Linked DNA regions of Canis lupus familiaris. The protein of the gene in region 2 purifies or fractionates together with the protein of the main gene of each other region. This does not show direct contact. Links are inferred from orthologs where the notes say so. Each region holds a gene or a part of one and is shown on either strand. Other genes may lie near its edges.

What was found.
Region 1: the proteins of TBC1D15 (region 2) and UBAC2 purify together in Homo sapiens (affinity purification with mass spectrometry; 3 studies listed by BioGRID and IntAct, counting the BioPlex papers as one, with this or other methods). This does not show direct contact. The link is inferred for Canis lupus familiaris from reciprocal best matches to the Homo sapiens genes TBC1D15 and UBAC2.
Region 3: the proteins of TBC1D15 (region 2) and UBXN8 purify together in Homo sapiens (affinity purification with mass spectrometry; 3 studies listed by BioGRID and IntAct, counting the BioPlex papers as one, with this or other methods). This does not show direct contact. The link is inferred for Canis lupus familiaris from reciprocal best matches to the Homo sapiens genes TBC1D15 and UBXN8.

The regions. Positions count from the first base shown.
Region 1 is NC_049243.1:49,540,045-49,546,404, reverse strand, and holds part of UBAC2 (ubiquitin-associated domain-containing protein 2), read right to left. Parts: intron 2,373-6,360; coding exon 2,130-2,372; intron 1-2,129. UniProt on the Homo sapiens protein: Restricts trafficking of FAF2 from the endoplasmic reticulum to lipid droplets.
Region 2 is NC_049231.1:13,792,004-13,798,051, reverse strand, and holds the end of TBC1D15 (TBC1 domain family member 15), read right to left. Parts: intron 4,713-6,048; coding exon 4,596-4,712; intron 4,068-4,595; coding exon 3,981-4,067; intron 2,857-3,980; coding exon 2,635-2,856; 3' UTR 1,513-2,634; downstream 1-1,512. UniProt on the Homo sapiens protein: Acts as a GTPase activating protein for RAB7A. Does not act on RAB4, RAB5 or RAB6.
Region 3 is NC_049237.1:34,406,486-34,412,845, reverse strand, and holds the end of UBXN8 (UBX domain-containing protein 8), read left to right. Parts: intron 1-1,929; coding exon 1,930-2,004; intron 2,005-5,279; coding exon 5,280-5,447; 3' UTR 5,448-5,903; downstream 5,904-6,360. UniProt on the Homo sapiens protein: Involved in endoplasmic reticulum-associated degradation (ERAD) for misfolded lumenal proteins, possibly by tethering VCP to the endoplasmic reticulum membrane. May play a role in reproduction.

The sequences.
Region 1 (6,360 bases), on a different chromosome or scaffold from region 2:
AGAATTTATGTCAAATAAGAGATGCAAGCAGCACCAACAGGTGGATGCTTTGGTCTGCTGCCCAGATCCCCTACCTCCCCAGGACTGAAGTGCTTGGTCTTCCTGCTGCGGGGATTGTTGGCAGGGACACCCATTCTGTGGATAGTATGCACCTAAGGAGAGCCGGTCGGTCCAAGACCTGCAATCGCTCCCAGTGACCAGCTGGTGGAGGTTGCCAGTTTCAGCTCCTTGGCCAAATCTGGTGCAATCTGGAAGGGCTCTCCTTATCTCCACAGCTCTCTGTAAGGCTGGCTCAGACCCTCTTCATAACTGTTGTTCAGCCTCCCTGTGTCCTTGACCATCACTCCTCCAAAAGATACCAATCCTGACAGCATTCCCTGAGAAACTTCATGCATAAAACTGGGTCTGGGGATGCTAAGCTGAGCGATTCAACTTCTCTGGCTTGCTCATGAGCATGAGATCTGTAGCCATCTGATGGGATTCCCAGGTATTCCAAAAGTACCCCAGTCAATATATTTCTCCCGCCAATCTACTCTTTCGATATTGGTGAGACGGTGCTATCATCAATCTATCCCATTATTAAGCCAGAAACCTCAGAATCCTACCTTATTTGTTTCTCTCCCTCACAGCTTTGCCCTTTCTACCTGAAAAATATTTTTACTCATCCTTACTTCATTTTTTGGATGCTGGTCATTCTGAGTTCTCATACTTTTCATTCTTCCTTCTATTTCCTTGAAGAATTCAGCTCCTCCTCTTGCTACATATGAGGCTTCATCTATAGCTTCTGTTCATCTTGGATGTAATTCTCTTAAAGAACTCACCTAGCACCTAGTCAACCCTACAAAGTTGACTCCATGATCTCTACCCCCAGCTCTGACCTTTCTGAGAGGGTGGTCTGTCCTCCACATTTAACTGTATCACAGGTATCTTTGTTGTACATTCTAGAGTCATCTCAAGTTCAAATACATCTGTAGGGAACACCCTCTGCTTCTGTTTTTCTTTTTTTTTTTTTTTTAAGATTTTATTTATTTATTCATGATAGTCACAGAGAGAGAGAGAGAGAGAGGCAGAGACACAGGCAGAGGGAGAAGCAGGCTCCATGCAGGGAGCCCGATGTGGGATTCAATCCCGGGTCTCCAGGATCGCGACCTGGGCCAAAGGCAGGCGCCAAACCGCTGCGCCACCCAGGGATCCCTGCTTCTGTTTTTCACCTGTAGAGTCAACCCATTCATAAGGGACCCCTTCTTCCAATCCAGATCTAAATGCTGGGACCCATACCTCCAATGGGACATCTGGGATGCCACACTTGATGCCACTTTTCCAGACCACTGTGAGGCCTGCAGACCTACTTCTCACACTCAATAAGGGCAAGAGATAGGGAGATGGCAAGAGAGTACGGTATCCTCTCTCACACCCCAGAGGGTAAAGAAGATGGACATGAGAAATGAAGAGCCCAGTATGCTGTATCACAGGGTGCCAAAGCAAGATCACGTGTGAGGTTTTGGCTGACATATAGTAACCCCTGACAGACAAGTGTGCTATTAGAGTGTTTGAATACAGCAGTTTTTGTAGATAAATGCTCAAGATTTCCTGATATCAATGACAAGGCTAAGAAAACAGATTTGATTCATTGGTTATTCCCCTGAAACTTTCTTACCTTCATATTCTCTCCATCGAGAAGTTTTACATCTGCTCTTCACTCCAGAGCACATGATAATAAGCATTTTAACAGGAAGACACTGTGGCTTTTACAAGATTATAAGAGCAGATAAATATCATATCTTGTTAACTAGGTTGGTGTTTCTCTAAGAAATCATGTTTATTTAATAGAAGTGGAACAAGAATGTCCAGTTTGACCAGTCTTTCGGCTGCAGTTTTTGTTGTTTTTTTTTAACTTAAACACACACACACACACACACACACACACACACACACAGCTAAGAAAGCCACTATCAGAGACCTCCATCCTACCTTGAAATGTCAAATGATCCACCTTGTAATGCATAGGGGTAAAATGTACTCTCAATCACACCAACAGTCACAGAGGCGAAGTGTACTGAGACCACTGAGTATTTCTGCATTTTGAATTACTATTCTGTTGCTACCTGCTGTCTCTGCCTGTTGCTTACCTGCTGTCTCTGCCTTCTCACTTGTGCAAACTGAGAAAGCATCAGCTGCCGGTCAAGCAGCTCCATCCTTTGCTGTCTCTGGATGTCTACTGTGGCTCCCATCCCGATTCTGGCTTCAGTGGTGGGTTCTGGAGATGAGAAGATAGGCTCAAGTGTCCAAGAAAAGAACTTTGCCATCCATCTGGGAATGCAGAGCACCTGCTGGAGTTGGAACACTTTGCTGTTGTAGCAGATGCCTGATATCTGAAAGGAGAAAAGTCCAACTGGATTGTTTCAATGTAATGATATTAAAGAACATAGTAACACAGAAATCAATAACCATAAAATACTTCAGATGTGATTTTTCTTCATTTTAGTAGCACTGGGTGACAATCAAAACTCCTTCTAAGCTGCAGAATAGGAAGCAGTACAAATCAACAAAAATTTAGTCAGTGAACAAATTTGTTTTTATTAAGCTAGAAAAGACAGCAAAATTCTAACCACTTAACACTCAACGAACTGGTAAAATATTTAAAAAAAACAATATTTTCTTAAAGCCATACGAGATCTGATTATCAAAAACACTTTCACAGTGTACTAACTCTGTGGTTACTTTTATTGGCAGATGGCCATCAGAGACAGGTACTGGCAGAAAACAACTTTAATGGCCAATGATGCGATCCAGCATATAATAAATTTATCACAAAATTAGACAATCTACATTTTGTTCTAATACATTTTTCAAGTACTGATTTTTCTAGTTTCAAAATCCTTAAAAAAAATAAAATCCCTGCCAATACTAATTCACAATTCTCTTTACAAATAAGCCTATTTTTCATCTTTAAGGTAATTTGTACAGTAATAGACATCTAAAGACTATGGTTTTCTAGGTTAAAATAAGTATGGCTATTCCTTTGTAAAAAAAAAAAAACTAACAACTTGAATTTTGTGAATTTGATTTTGAGGATAAGAAGTTGAATTATTCTCACCAAGTTAGAATGTATTTGACAATGTGCTAATAGGAGAAAAGTACACTTTAATGTTTTCTTAATACAATTTAAATTAATTAGGCAAGAATTTGCTGAGCATCTACTATACCCCGGACACTGTTGCAGGCATTTAGAGGTCAGTGGAAGACAAGATCAACAAGGCCCTACTCACAGAGGTAATAGTGGTCAGTATGGAAAATTAGGGAATAAATGAGCAAACATCAAGCAAGTTCTGTGAAGAAAACAAGTGGCCTGGAGCAGGGACCGTCTGTAGGTCAGGTGTCAGGGAAGCTTTGGAGGAAGTGACATTTGAACAAAGCTCCTCAGGATAATGGGGTGGGTGCCAGGGATTTGAAGACTCAGAGGAAGAACCTTTCAGCCAGTGCAAACAGCACATGCGATGCAGCAATGGGCCTGGCAGCATCTATTCGAGATCTCAGTGGGATATCAAGTGGGCAGTCAGGTCTACACATCTGGAACTCAAGGGAAAACATAGCAGAGGTAAGGATTCGGGGCTCACAGGCACTGACGGTGGTTAAAGCCCTGGGATTAGGCAAGGGCATGGGACAAACAGCAAAAGGGAGAAGAGGATGTAGATTCAACGCAGCAATTCTCTGTGCATGGACAGAGTGGGAGAGGCCAGTGATATCACCTGGAAGTGCTGCCAAGGGAGAGGAGAAAAACTAGGAGGGCTTGGTATCACCGAAGTGAAGAGAACAGTTTTAGGCTGGGAAAAGCCAGCTATGAACCATGCAGCTCCAGGTTCAACCAGGCCAGGGAGGAAAATGAGCACTGGATTTGGTGAAATGGAAGCCCTGATGACCTTGTAAGAACAGTTCTGGTGCAGTGGTAGGAGCAAAAGACAGACTGGGACAGCTAGAAGAGACGATATAGAGGACTTTTGGTTTCAAATCATTTGTATGCCACTTCTCTCAAAAACAATACAGAACAACAAAGAAAATGGAAACAAATTCCACACTCAATGAAACTAGAAGGCATCTACAATCCTGAACCACACTAACAAAATGGAAAACACGCTGAGTAATGGAAGTGATTTCTAATGGGAAGAAAGGTAAATCTAAATGCTGGCAAGGTCTCCTGGAGCTTAGAGAGCCTCATGGATTAGAGGCACCAAGGACTGTGAAGGCAGGAGGGAAGCAGAGTCCTCCTTAACTCTGCAGGAAGGAACCCTGAATCCTGCCCCTACCCAATGTAGCCCATATCCACCCTCTCTCCTTCTCAGGGAGAAGGTAAAAGCTCTGTAGGGTGTGAATCAAAGAGGCTTTGAAGTGGGCAGAGCCTGCCCAGTGGGGAGGCCCAGGGCTCTGCCCATAAGATTCCAGACAGAGAAGAGAGGCCCTCAGTGAAGGTCTCATAGAGATTCCAGAAAAAGACTATGGGGGGAGGTGGGGAGAACAGGACAGTATTTCAAGAGATAATAGTTAAGAGTTCTCCAGAATTTATAATAAAGAATGTAAATCTCAGATTGAAAATGCAAGAGTCCCAGAAAGGATAACAAAATGAAATTTATATCTAGATGCATTGTAGTGAAACAAAGAAAAAGTCCTTAAAAGTTACCAGAGATAAAACAGACTGCCTAGAAAGGAAAAACAATTATCTACAGAACAGCAAACTGTTACAACAAACAAACAAACAAACAAACACTAAAATGCATTTGGAGGGCAGCCCTGGTGGTGCAGCGGTTTAGCGACACCTTCAGCCCAGGGCGTGATCTGGGAGACCTAGGATCGAGTTCCACATGGGGCTCCCTGCATGCAGCCTGCTTCTCCCTCTGCCTGTGTCTCTGCCTCTCTCTCTCTCTGTGTGTGTGTGTGTCTCTCATGAATAAATAAATAAAATCTTTAAAAAAATAAATAAAATGCATTTGGAATATTTAAAGCTTAAGTTTAAAAAACATAATGTGAGAAGGAAGAAGCCAGACAAAAAATGCATACATTATATGATTCCACTTTTGTGAATGGATCAATCTGATCTATCTATCCAACTGTCTATCCATCCACACATCCATCCATACCAAGGGCAAAAACGAAGGAGCAAAGCATGAGGGTGATGACCATCTGTCCTGGGAGAGCTGTCACAGGAGCAAGAGGTGCCAAGAGGCTTTGGAGGCTGGCAGTACTCTGGCCTGTATGGGTTTTTATGGGTGTGTTCACTTTATAGTGACTTGTTTGGTTTCACGACATTTATAGTTTATGAAATATTTGGGGTGTGTGTGTGTGTGTGTGTGTGTGTGTGTATCATTATAAAAAGATTTTTAAATAAATCAAAGGATCCAGAATGGCCAAAGTAATTTTAAAGAAACGTAATAAGGCTCATCAGATTTCAAGATATGATATAAAGTTTGAGTAATTAAAATAGTGTGGTCTTTATGTGGAGCTACTCAAATCGACCTAAAGAAGAGAGCATAGAAAGGCTTCGGAGGAGAAGGGCATGTGGTACCCAGCAGAAATGGTAAGTTAGAGGGAGCTCTACATCAGGATAAAGATAAAACATCCCCCCTTCCCAACATCATCTGTAAATTCCCAACAGATGAAGGAAACAAATAATTCACTGTACTTGAAATCTTTTTACACAAAATACAGAAGGCACATCTTTTTGACACTGAGATGGGAAGAATTTTTAAATAAGGACCAGATAGCACAAACTATAAAAGAAAACATACAGTTATTTACTTTATAATTTAAAAGCTATAGTATGCTAAAAGTTACCATAAGTGAAGCCAAAGGACAAGTAAGAGCCCAGAGAACACACTTAGAATCCTTGCTGCCAACAAAGGTAGTACTCAAAACACAGAACTATAAATTTCTCAGAGAAAGACAATCAATCCAACTTAAAAAGTGGATGAAAAGGCAATTTCAGAAAAGGAAATTCAAAAGGCCAACAAACACATGAAAAAGACGTTTACCCTCCCTTGTTTTTAGGGAAATGTAATGTTAAATATAATAATTGGGAAAAAATGGAAAAATCTGGGATCAAGTTTTGGTGAGGACGAGGAGAACTCCAAATGCTCACAGTCCTGAGGGAAAGTAAAGTGGGACAAGCTCTCCAGAGAGCAATCTGATAGAACCTAAGCAGAGCTGAAGCCATGCTTTAGGGAATACTCAGCTGCAACATTGTATGTAACAGCTAGGAAATGCAAACAAAGTGTCCCCAGAAGAGGACTGGCTAAGGACTGGTTTATAAACATCAATTAAAATAAACTCAGTTTACATGTGTCAATATATTTTTAATATATCATACAT
Region 2 (6,048 bases):
CACAGAGGCTCAAGAAACCCTTGGATGCATGAAGAAAATTAGAGAAACTTTTGAGAAACTATGACCTGTCCCCAGAAATATGCACACAAAACTTCAAGTACAGTGAGAGGTTCATACATCTTCTGAAAGCCCCCAAGGAAAGAAATCCAAGCTAGAAGGATGTCATCCGGTTACACGGTGATACACAAGTCAGGTAAATTTCTAGGTTCTTCAATAAACATTTTGTATTACTTTATACAAACTACCTTTAATAATGGACATAATTATATGAATTTCCCGTTAAGATTTAGCATCCATAAAAATCCTTGGAAATGGCAGGTTCAGCAAGAATCACCATAATGCTCCCAAAATGTTCTTTTCCTCACTCAGAAAAGCTCTAGTCATCACCAAGACTAAAGTTCTTAACTTACAAAGAGATGAAGAATCCTAGGCACATGGGACAATCAAAATAGGCACGTTCTTAAATGCAAAAGGCTTCCTTCCCATAGACTCTCATATTAGAAATGAAAATACTTCTTACAGTTAAATTAGGAATTAAATTTTAACATTAAATATCATATAATAGAGCACATAATAATTTATATGTTATCAGGGTATGAACAGAACACCTCGTGAAAACTGAAATAAATCTTTAAGAAGTTAGACCAACCAATTTACCTGGACTATTTTAGCAATCTCAATAGCTCAAATTTATATATAGCATCTGCTAACTCAATTTTGTAGATTCTCACTGAGACTTTATCCAGCATTGTGCTATATTATTATTTCTCCATCAACAATGAGCAAGATGGAAATAAAGACTCTTTAGTAAAAATGCTTTAACAAGTAGTTGTATAATAAAACTTGACAAAAGTTCAAGTTACTAAATGTGTTCAGATTTTTTTTAACTCCGAAGTAGACATGACATTACATAGCGGAGGGGGGGAGAAAAACTCCCCTGAAGTCCCTGTCCAGGAAGAACAAGAAGGACATCAAGATGTTCTAAGCAATTTCCTGAACAGCAGGAAATGAAAGGCTGGAGACGCCGAGTGTCTGATCCGTTTACTTTTTTTGTCTAAATAGGCTTACTCATTATTAACTGATGAAAGATAACACACATATGATATTAAAAACTAAAATCTAATGGTTCTACTGTCATGATTGTCAGTTAATACTCAAGTAGGAAAAAAGTTCATTTGGTTCCGTCTTCTGGAGGGAAAAAAATCTATCTCCTGGACCACTTCAGAAATGCCTAACTTTTATTTTACATTATTAACATCAATTGTAGGAGTTGCTTTCCTGGGTCAGACAATTACATCCTCCAAGACAACACTATGCTCAAGTCCATGCTGATGAAAATTTGTTTTTGGTTATAAAAGGGGTCGTATTTCTTCCTCACGTCCATAACTCATTCCAATGATTGTTTCAATCACAAAAAAATAGAAAATGTGCTGGGGGCCAACTTGGATTCTTTTCCTTCCAATGCAGAACTAGCAGACTACTTCTAAAGTGTAATTTAACTGAAAACACTACTTCAACTTCAAGTTTATTTTAATGATATGTACAAGAGTTAACAAATTACAAATAAAACGGAATCAGTTATGTTAATTTCACATAACTTAAAATCATGCAACACTGCATGGTAAAAACAACAGCTTCATTCATATACAAAAAAGTATTATTTTGAGACTCGTGATAGTATATTGAAATTTTTGACACAAGCTTTTTGCAAAGAGCATTTTATAAAAATTTAAAGACCTGATTAATCAGTTAATGCATTATTAGGAAAGATAATAAACACATTATTAGTAAAATGAGGTTACAAGCAATTAATTTTAAAATTACACCAGGTACAGGGTTGAATGTAGTCTCATGAAATAAATGTTTGGTTAAGAAAATAGTTTTGAAAAAGATCTCATACTGAAGCTATGTATTACTTTTGTCAAATCAGATCATATAAATCAATAGTCAAGTTTATTCAGTTAAAGAAAATATGCCTATCCTTTTTATACTCATAAATAAGTACTTATATAGTTTTTATATACAAGTGAAGAAAACTTCAATGTAAAAAATATACTGCCAATCCACTTATTATGGTTGAAATAGCTCTTTTTATCTACACATTAAATTGCATTGATGAAAATATCCAATTTAAGTCACATTCAACCAGCATAAATATTTAAGCTGAGTATTGTTGTAAACAATAGAGAAAAACAAATTCTTTTATTTCATCACTTGGGTAACACAATCTACTTCTCAGCTTAGAATGCTATAGAAAGGCCCAACATTTAATTTAATCAAATCCAAAACCCACTAAACTTAGAGTAAACAAAGTGAATGTTTTTCAAAGTGCATAATTTCCAACTCATCCACTTGTAATATTTATCCAATTCCAGTTCATCAGCAAGAAAATAAAATGTACTTGGCTATAAAAATACTAAGGAATGTTATTGAAAAGGAAAGGCTATTTGGTAGAAGTAACTACAAAAATAATTAGTTTAAATCTTTGTAAAGCTTTAATGCAAGAACATCAGTACACTTTCTTTCCATAAACCTTAAAGCATGATCAATACCAAGATTTTAAATTTCCACCTTTCAAGTACTTGCAAAAGGCTGCAACAAAGTGTCTCTTCAAAAATTAAGCAAGAAGAATGATCATGCAGGTGTTAATCTGCTAACATTTGGGGACATTGCTATCTGTGTTGGGCTGTCATCTCTGGCTCCACTAGTGGCAAGTACGGGCAAGGAGTCACTCTGAAATGTAGACGTAGGACAACGAGTCATGCCAATGTTTTCATCTTCACCAGTGTCTGAATCTGGTGTTGTCACTTCACTGTCCTGAAGTCCCAGGATCTCACAAACTGCTTGTGGCAATTCCTATAGAGGAAAAGTATTCACAAAATAACACTTCTACTCAAGATATGTAGATTCCAGAATCTGAACATTTATTCTAACAGTGTGATAGTTATGTATCTTTTCACACCTTCCTTATCCACTCCAAATGAAATCCTAACCACTTTTTTTCATAAGTTCCCTAATCTTCTTACCCAAATTAGTCACTCTCCACCCCACCCTACCACTCACAAATGTTAAGTTTTTTAACAGTTAGTATTTATTTCATTGCTATTATAGAATCTTAGATATTATTTTTTTTTAATTAATTAATTTATTTATTTATGATAGTCACAGAGAGAGAGAGAGAGAGAGAGAGAGAGAGGCGCAGAGACACAGGCAGAGGGAGAAGCAGGCTCCATGCACCAGGAGCCTGATGTGGGATTCGATCCCGAGTCTCCAGGATCGCGCCCTGGGCCAAAGGCAGGCGCCAAACCGCTGCGCCACCCAGGGATCCCCGAATCTTAGATATTAAACGAGAGCTTATTTATACTCCAATTTGCTCCCTCAATGTACAAGGTTCCTTAAAGAAGTGTCTCACTGGCATATTTTGAACAGAACAGCTACCAAATAAATGTTTGCAGAAGTGAACCAAAGTAAGTATTTGGAACCATGAACAAATGACACAAAGACCAAACAGAACTCTCATAAAAGTGCAAAAGCCAAAATACCTCAAAGAGAACAATTTAGGTCATAATTTTTTTTAGAAAGACTAAGAACTTGGCTAGTACAATTGTAAAGACACTCTAAATACCATTTGCTTAATTATTTCTGATTAGCATCTGTCTTTATTTGGGGATATCATTTAATAAGAGGTTCCAGTCTGTAGTCAGACTGAATAATACAGCCTCTTTAGTTGTTGCTGAAACGGTTTCATTATGTTTGCCATTTTGCTATACTATTTCTTATCTAGCATAATTAATCGACTATTTTCAATTAAGTGCTATAAATCAATAATGGTAAACAAAATGCTAACTAATGCTTGTTGTCTGCTTCAGCTTACTAAAATTGCCATTTATTATACTTCTATGAAGAAAAATTCTTTCTTGACCTCAGTCCACCAAAAACAAACAAAAAATCTTACAATTATTTAAAACACTGCACCATACCTTGCATTTTACCATCTGTAGAGAAATTGCTTCTGCCTTGCATAGTACATCTTCCACATCAATTTTCATGGACAATTCATTGATATGCTAAAATGAATCCATAAAATAAAATGATAATTGAAACTAAAAGCACTATTATATTCTACTATATAAACAATTTATTACCAGATATATTTCATTGCAGATAAAATCCTTAAAATAAAAGTATTCATACTACAAATCAGCAGGAAATTCAATCTATCTTTCAGTTTTAAAGTTAAAGAATAGCTAATAAACTTATGGGACATTAAATCTAGCAGCTGTCCCAAGTCTACTATCTCAAAGTTATAAGCAAAAGACAATTATTTTTTTTTTTTAGAAAACTAAACTACACAGAAGAGAATTTGCTGAATTTCCTTTTCTTCCTAATTACCCAGGTAAAAATAACTGGCCAGTATGTATTCATTGAACTGTCATTCTCAGAGAGCCAGTCCTAATATTAGGTGTTATTGATATAATTTAAGTTTTACTCAAGGGATTCAATCAATAAAGCTCCAAGAAAATGTTCTGTATATCAGTACCATCAAACAGACGAAAGAGCCAAAATACTCAAATTTAAATTAAAGAAATAACTACCTTTAGTATTTCATTAAACCCATAATGCTTTTCCATTATTTGCTGCTTTTCGGATTCGAGAATAGCACAACAGAGAAGAAGATGGAAATTTTTGCATGGCAGTTCAGTCCACATTACCTATAAAAAAAAATAGAACTATTTAGTACACTATATCAATTCTACAATATTTTCCTCACAGAAACAATGCTGAACTCTGAATGACTTCTATGAAACGCAGAAGGGGCCTAGATGGAGTAGACACTGTTTCTCTAGTGAGGAAATTGGGGGTAAAGTCTTACCTTTACCTACACAGGTAACTAACATCAAGTTTAACATTATGTGAGTATGATTAATTCCATATGTGGCCCTTTAGGTAACTACAGTAAGATATGACTGAGCCTAATTTATATAATAAATGGTATTAATTAAGAAGCTACATCCATGAGTTTAAGGTATAAGGGTTAGAGGCATTCTCAGTATTTTTCTGACCCTTCAGTTCAGTTTCTCACTTGTAAGTCACCTTTAATCTCGGCGGGGGGGGGCAGGGGAGGGCAAATTGTGGATATGAAAGAAAAATTCAGTTAAAGAGTACATGGAATCAAAACCACCCAGAGATAGCTCTACATTATATTACATTACACAGTGTGTCCCTGATTGTGACAAAAACTGAATCAACTACCCAAAATTTATACCTAAATGGATAAAATATTTGATCAATAGCCACACTTCTTAAATACAATGACCTCAAATTTAAAGCCTTCATTTCCTATCAATGTACATAATAATATCTTATCTAGGAAGAGAAAAAGACCCACATAAATAATACTACTAAATGCATACATGAAATGTTTTTACTTCTTTCATCAAAAGTAAATCAAGCTGAATAATTTTTGGACTAAATTCAATTTTTAATTACAATGCAATTAACCTCAAAATTTTCATTCAAAAGTTGGATTTGGTAATCAGACCAAGGTTTATTCTAGCTACATAGTAACAATATTTTCAATCCATCCTATAAAAAGGAAGTTGAGAAGTTTGCTTAATTATCAAACCTCTGAGATTAAATTTCATAACGGCCCTCAAAAATGAATTATGTTCAATTAAATACAATTCCAAATTAAGGAATATGTGAGTTTTACTTCTAATTTCAAACAGAGGAAGCCATCACACACAAAGCAAGGAGATCCTTCAAACAGCACATCACTTTTAATGGTAGCATGGTCACCAAAAGTATAGGGACCAATTTCCAGCTGTAAAAGTCTCAGAGGACACAAGGGTTCCACTATATGTGTCTATTTATTATCCAGATGGATTATTTCCCCCATTTCTTCCTTGGAAGAATTTCTGTAATCCCTTGCCTTTATAAAGATAAGGTAGCAATTAGTCATTACACTCAACATTCTATTTTAAAAGCACACTGATCTGTTAACAACAGATATTTTAGAAGAAAATAATAATTTTTTATCAAGTTAAC
Region 3 (6,360 bases), on a different chromosome or scaffold from region 2:
CTGAGCCAGCCAGCTATCCTTGCTGCCACTTTTAATTTAGATTTCATTTAACAATCTGTGTTTGGCATAATGATTTACTTTCCAATTTGGATTGTGTTCCCCTGTTCATTTGTCAGTCCATACGCTGTCAGTAACATTAGGAGAAATGGCACAACCAACTTTCATAGTAATTGTAATAACAGAAGAATTGCTAGATTTCAAACAATGATAGTTGATTTCCCTTGAGTAATCTAATCATAATGGGAAACATTAATTCACTATAATATATATTTTTAATTCACTAGATTTTAACCCTAGTTTCTCATAAACCATTTGGCTTTAATTCTGCTTCCAGATCATTAACCTTTGAACGAAACCTCACTATAAAGGTTAAATTTTGTTGTTTCTAAAAATAAGCAAAATTGGCTTTTAATCTATGATTTAGTTGTTTTGTGATTTTTTTATTATAAAACTTATTAGAAGTACTAACAACACAGCATTGCACTGGTTTGGATATGAATCAGATACCTACTTGAATGGAAATATTTTCTAACATGGCTTTCCTGTGGAGGATAGGTGCTGCTGCAAAACCACCATTTCTATGTCCTATGATGCCTGCATAACTCCCAAGACAGTTATGATAATGTTAACCATAAGAAAGGGTTTCCTGACAGTTATTTTTTAATAAAAGAAAAAAATGACGACTACTTTTTTTTAAATGTCTTTTATTTTATTTTTTTTAATATTCTATTTATTTATTCATTAGAAACACAGAGAGAGAGAGAGAGGCAGAGACACAGGCAGAGGGAGAAGCAGGCTCCGTGCAGGGAGCCCGACATGGGACTTGATCCCCGGTCTTCAGGATCACGCCCTGAGCTGAAGGCGGCGCTAAACTGCTGAGCCACCGGGGCTGCCCTTTATTTTTATTTATTTATTTATTTATTTATTTATTTATTTATTTATTTATTTATTTATTTGTTTGTTTTTTAATTTTTATTTATTTATGTATGATAGTCACAGAGAGAGAGAGAGGGGCAAAGACACAGGCAGAGGGAGAAGCAGGCTCCATGCGCAGGGAGCCCAATGTGGGATTCGATCCCGGGTCTCCAGGATCGCGCCCTGGGCCAAAGGCAGGCGCTAAACCGCTGCGCCACCCAGGGATCCCCGGGGCTGCCCTTTAAATGTCTTTTAATATTAACTAGCCATTTGCAAGCTCTTTTTAGCTATTTAACTGTTGACTCAAGGAGAAATGATGGGGGAAACTCAGTACATAATGCAGATAGAGCAGGAGCTCTATCCCAGCTCCTAGGACCAACTCCAGGCTGGAATGATAGAGTAACTTGGGAAACTGTTTCCTTCCAGTCCAGTGTTTTTCTTGTCTCTAGACTGGGATGGCACAGGATCTTCTTGGTTTGGTAGATGAATTTTTGAAGCCCACGTGCAGCCTTGATACCATCTGGACAGACAGAAGCATGTAGTTTCTGTTGTCCTCTCTGGAGGGCTTTGTCACTGATCTCCATCAGTAGGAAGATGTTCTTCCATTTCAGAAGGCATTTTTATATTCAGAGTGAATTTTATGTGGATCTTTATGTTGGCCTACTACTCTCAGAGCTAAATGCCTACAAACCCCCCACACAAACTGTTTAGAATTATGGACGTTTCACAAGAGTAGCAATTTTGGAATTGCAAGAGCAGTGCACTGGAATTCTTTTTTTTATCATTTTTTAAAAAGATTTTATTTATTTATTCATGACAGACATGGAGAGAGAGAGAGAGAGAGAGGCAGAGACACAGGCAGAGGGAGAAGCAGGCTCCGTGTAGGGAGCCCAACACAGGACTTGATCCCAGGTCCCCAGGATCACACCCAGGGCCGAGGGCAGTGCTAAACCACTGGGCCACCAGGGCTGCCCTATGCACTGGAATTCTTATTTGAACATTTTTACTCCTTAGGTAGTTGCTGTTGCTCTCCGATGTCCAAGCGGGAATGTCCTGAGAAGAAGATTTTTGAAGTCTTGCAGTTCACAGGTGAGGAAATCCCTATTTTGAGAAATTCTTTTGTTGAATTTGACAGTAATTTACTCTCATGCAGTGGGGGAGGTATTACCACTTTCTTGTCTGGTACTCCCTTCAGGTGAGGGTAGAGGGGATTATATGTACTCTGTGTTGCAGAAATTTGATAATTCGGCATGCTGGATCTTTCTGAATTGTGATTGCAACACTTCTTTTTTTTCAGTTCTTTTCCTATTTTTTGTTTTTGTTATTAATTACTTTTTCACAGCTTGGTAGATATGATGCTTTCAAATCCAGGCACCTGTGGTGCTTAGTCAGTAGAGCGTCTGCCTTCCACTCAGGTCATGATCCCAGGGATTGAGCTCTGCATCAGACTCCCTGCTCAGTGGGAAGCCTGCTTCTCCCTCTGCTACCCTCTTGCTATCTCTGTCTCCCTCTCAAATAAATAAAATCTTTAAAAAGACAAGATGCTTTCAAATCTCTATGTAATTTTTAGATCATTCTTTAGGGGTCTTTTTTTCTCTTAAAATCAATGCTGTATTCATTAGCCATATTCTGGAAAATCTAGAAAAATAGAAAATAGAAAAAAGACTTGATCTGCTGTTTGACACCAAGGCAGATTGCTAATATTTTGGCATATTTCTACTTTTAAGCACACTTAAGTTTGCATTTTATTAGAAATATGTCTAAACACTCCAAAAAAAGAAAAAAGTATGTCTAAACAGTTTTCTGTCCTGATTGTTGGATTTAGCCATCTATGAAGAGCATGCTGAGAACTATAATGGAAAATATTGAAGGATTTGACTACATAGAAATATAAAATTCTTTTTTTTTTTTTTTAAGATTAAATCTGGGGGAAAAAAAGGATTTTATTTATCTGGAACATCTGGGTGGCTCAGCAGTTTAGAGCCTATCCTGCCTTCGGCCCAGGGCATGATCCTGGGGTCCTGGGATCGAGTCCCACATCGGGCTCCCTGCATGGAGCCTGCTTCTCCCTCTGTGTCTCTGCCTCTCTCTCTGAGTCTCTCATGAATAAATAAATAAAATTTGGGGGATCCCTGGCTGGTTCAGTGGTTTGGTGCCTGCCTTCGGCCCAGGGCGTGATCCTGGAGTCCCGGGATCGAGTCCCACATCAGGCTCCCTGCATGGAGCCTGCTTCTTCCTCTGCCTGTGTCTCTGCCTCTCTCTCTCTCTCTCTCTCTCTCTCTCTGTGTCCCTCATGAATAAATAAATAAAATCTTTTAAAAAATAAAAAATAAAGATTTTATTTATCTGAGAGAGACAGAGATAGCAACAGAGATAGCGAGAGAGAGCATGAGCCAGGGAGGAGAGAGAGAAGTAGGCTCCCCACTGAGCAGGGAGCCCAACATGGGACTGGATCCCAGGACCCCAGGATCATGATCGGAGCTGAAGGCAGATGCTCAACCAACTGAGCCACCCAAGTGCCCTGAAATGTAAAATTCTATAAAGGAAAGGTTAAGGGGCGCCTGGGTCACTCAGTTGGTTGAACATCTGCCTTTGGCTCTGGGATCAAGCCCCACATCAGGCCCCCTGCCCAGGGGAGAGTCTGCTTCCCCCTCTTCCTTTGCCCCTCCCTACCACTTGTGATTTCTCTCTCAAATAAATAAAATCTTGTTTTAAAAAAAGAGAGAAAGTTCATAAAACTAAAACTTCAGAAAAAAATATTTTACATCTATATATGATAGTCATTTCTTTATGATGAGGTATTGTACAAATCAAGGAAATTAGTAGAATGGCAGCTAAAAAAAAAATGAAGGATTTCCTAAAGAAAAAAACAAGTGACATAAAAAATTTTGGCCTTACTTAGAATCAAAGATGTGCAAACTGAAATGGGACACAATTTTCTACCTATTAGATTGTTGTAGATTAAAAAGATGAGTACGCAGTTTTGGCCTGTGTGTGGAGAAAACAGTGATTCTCCTTAATTGTTCATGTGAATATAAATTGGGCCTCTGTTCCTAAGGATAATTAATCTTTATATCTTTTGGTTCATTAATTTTTTTTAAAGATTTTATTTATTTGAGAGAGAGAGCCAGAGAAGACAAGCAGGGTGGGGAAGGGCAGAGGGAAGAGAAGCAGGTACCCCGCTGAGCAAAGAGCCTGATGTAGGGCTCTATCCCAAGACTGTGGGATCCTGACCTGAGCTGAAGGCAGGCACTTAACTGAATGAGCCACTCAGGTGCTCCCATTAATTTCATTATGAGAATCTATTCTATGGAAATAAGTGAAATGATCAAAGGTGTGTGTTTATATAGGGATTGGTTGAATTAAGGCATATCCAAATATTGGAAAATTACGAAGCTTTATGACCTAGATGTATATTTTTTTATTTTTTTAGATGTATGTTTATTACATGGAATATCAGTAGATTCTTGGATGGTGGTTACCCGGAGAAGTCAGAGATTATCTATAATTGAGTATCTGTAATTGATACTCTAGCTTCCCCCAAGAACATTCTAGGATCCAGCTTTCTTCCGAAAGCAGCAAACAGCCGTTTGGCAGACACTTTTAGACAGTAGTACCTGGAAGTTTTGACAGTTACTGTGGAAATCTTCATAACAGGAAATGTCTTCAATTTATAGGAATAGCCCATTGAAAATGGGGATCATAAGGCAGAGTCACTGGGGCCTGGACAGGTCTCTGGTGACAAAGTTCCTGAGTCATTTTGATGTGGACTATTGGCTTAGATTTTGTTCTAAATAACTTTTTCCAAGCTTACTTTTTGTTCTCAACTTTTAAATTGAATAACCTTTTTATTCTCTATGGTTGGGTCTTTCCTAAGTGTTAAATGTCCCTGCTGTCAATCAGTGCCTTTAGTCCCTAGGCCTTCTCTGAAACTTTGGAAAGGTATTTAAGGTATTTGCATCAGGGGTGCCTGGGTGGCTCAGTCAGTTAAGCATCTGCCTTCCACTAGGTCATGATCTCAGGGTCCTGGGATTAAACCTGAAATCGGGTTCCCTGCTCAGTGGAGAGTCTGTTTTTCCCTCTCCCTCTGCCCCTCCCTGCTGCTCATGCTTTCTCTCACACTCTCACTTTCTCTCTCAAATACATAAAATCTTTAGAAAGACAAAACAAAAAAGGTATTTGCATTTCACGATTCTTGGCATGCTACTTTCCTTTATACTCTAGAAGGTTCTGTTTCATTACTCTAGGGGTAATCATGCTGTTACCCCTAGGATTTAACAGTGAATGAATTATAAAATATCATTGGTGACCTCGAGGGACACAACTGTACTCCGTATTTGATAGCTAAACTTTTTATCTTCTAGGTCTTATTTGACTGGATGAAGAAAATCGGGTACCACACATCCCAATACAGCCTTTCTACTTCCTTTCCCAGACGGCCTCTGGAAGTGGGGGGAGGCTGGTCACTGCAGGACATAGGAATAACCGTGGATACTGTACTCAACGTGGAAGAGAGAGAGCAGAGCAGCTAATTCAGAAATGAGAACTACCTGTTCTACATAAAATCAGTTATGCCATGACCTTACAGGACAATAAAGGATTCACATTGAAATTACGCCATTGGCTTGATTCAGCTCAAGTAGATAAACACTGTAATGTTGATATCCTTGGGAACATAGGGACAGAGGATTAGAAAAGGATTACTCTATATACATAATAGTTTTTGGAATGTGCCATTTTACAGTGTACCAAATGAAAACTAGATAAAGATGTATTTGGTAAGCACTCAAAGATTTGTATTTTTCCTAGCCGACATCATCTATCGCTGTGTTGAAAAACAAAGTCATATGACTCGGTTTGCTGCCTCTTTGGTCCACCTGTCACACTGAACATTTCATAATTCAGTCAAATTCTCTAATGCCTGTTAAGTAGGAATGTTTGTTCTGCTGTATTTCTAGAAATTAAACCTTAAAGACATTTCAAAGGTCTTTAATGCTCTAAAGTTCTTTTCGATAATCTGATAAAGGGTTAGTATCCAAAATATGTAAAGAACTTACACAACTCAATACCCCAAACCCCCCAAATAATCCAATTAAAAATGGGCAGAAGACATGAACAGACATTTCTCCAAAGAAGACATCCTGATGGCCAATAAACACATGCAAAGCTGCTCACCATCACTCATCATCAGGGAAATACAAATCAAAACTACAATGAGATATCACCTCATACCTGTCAGAATGTCTAGAACCAAAAACACAACAACAGGTGTTGGCAAGAATGTGGAGAGGAGCCCTCTTGCACTCTTGGTGTGAATGCAAACTGGTGCAGCCACTGTGGAAAACAGTATGGAAGGAGGTTTCTCAAAACATTAAAAATAGAACTACCCTGTGATCTAGTAATTGCACTATTAGGTATTTACCCAAAGAATACAAGAATACAAAA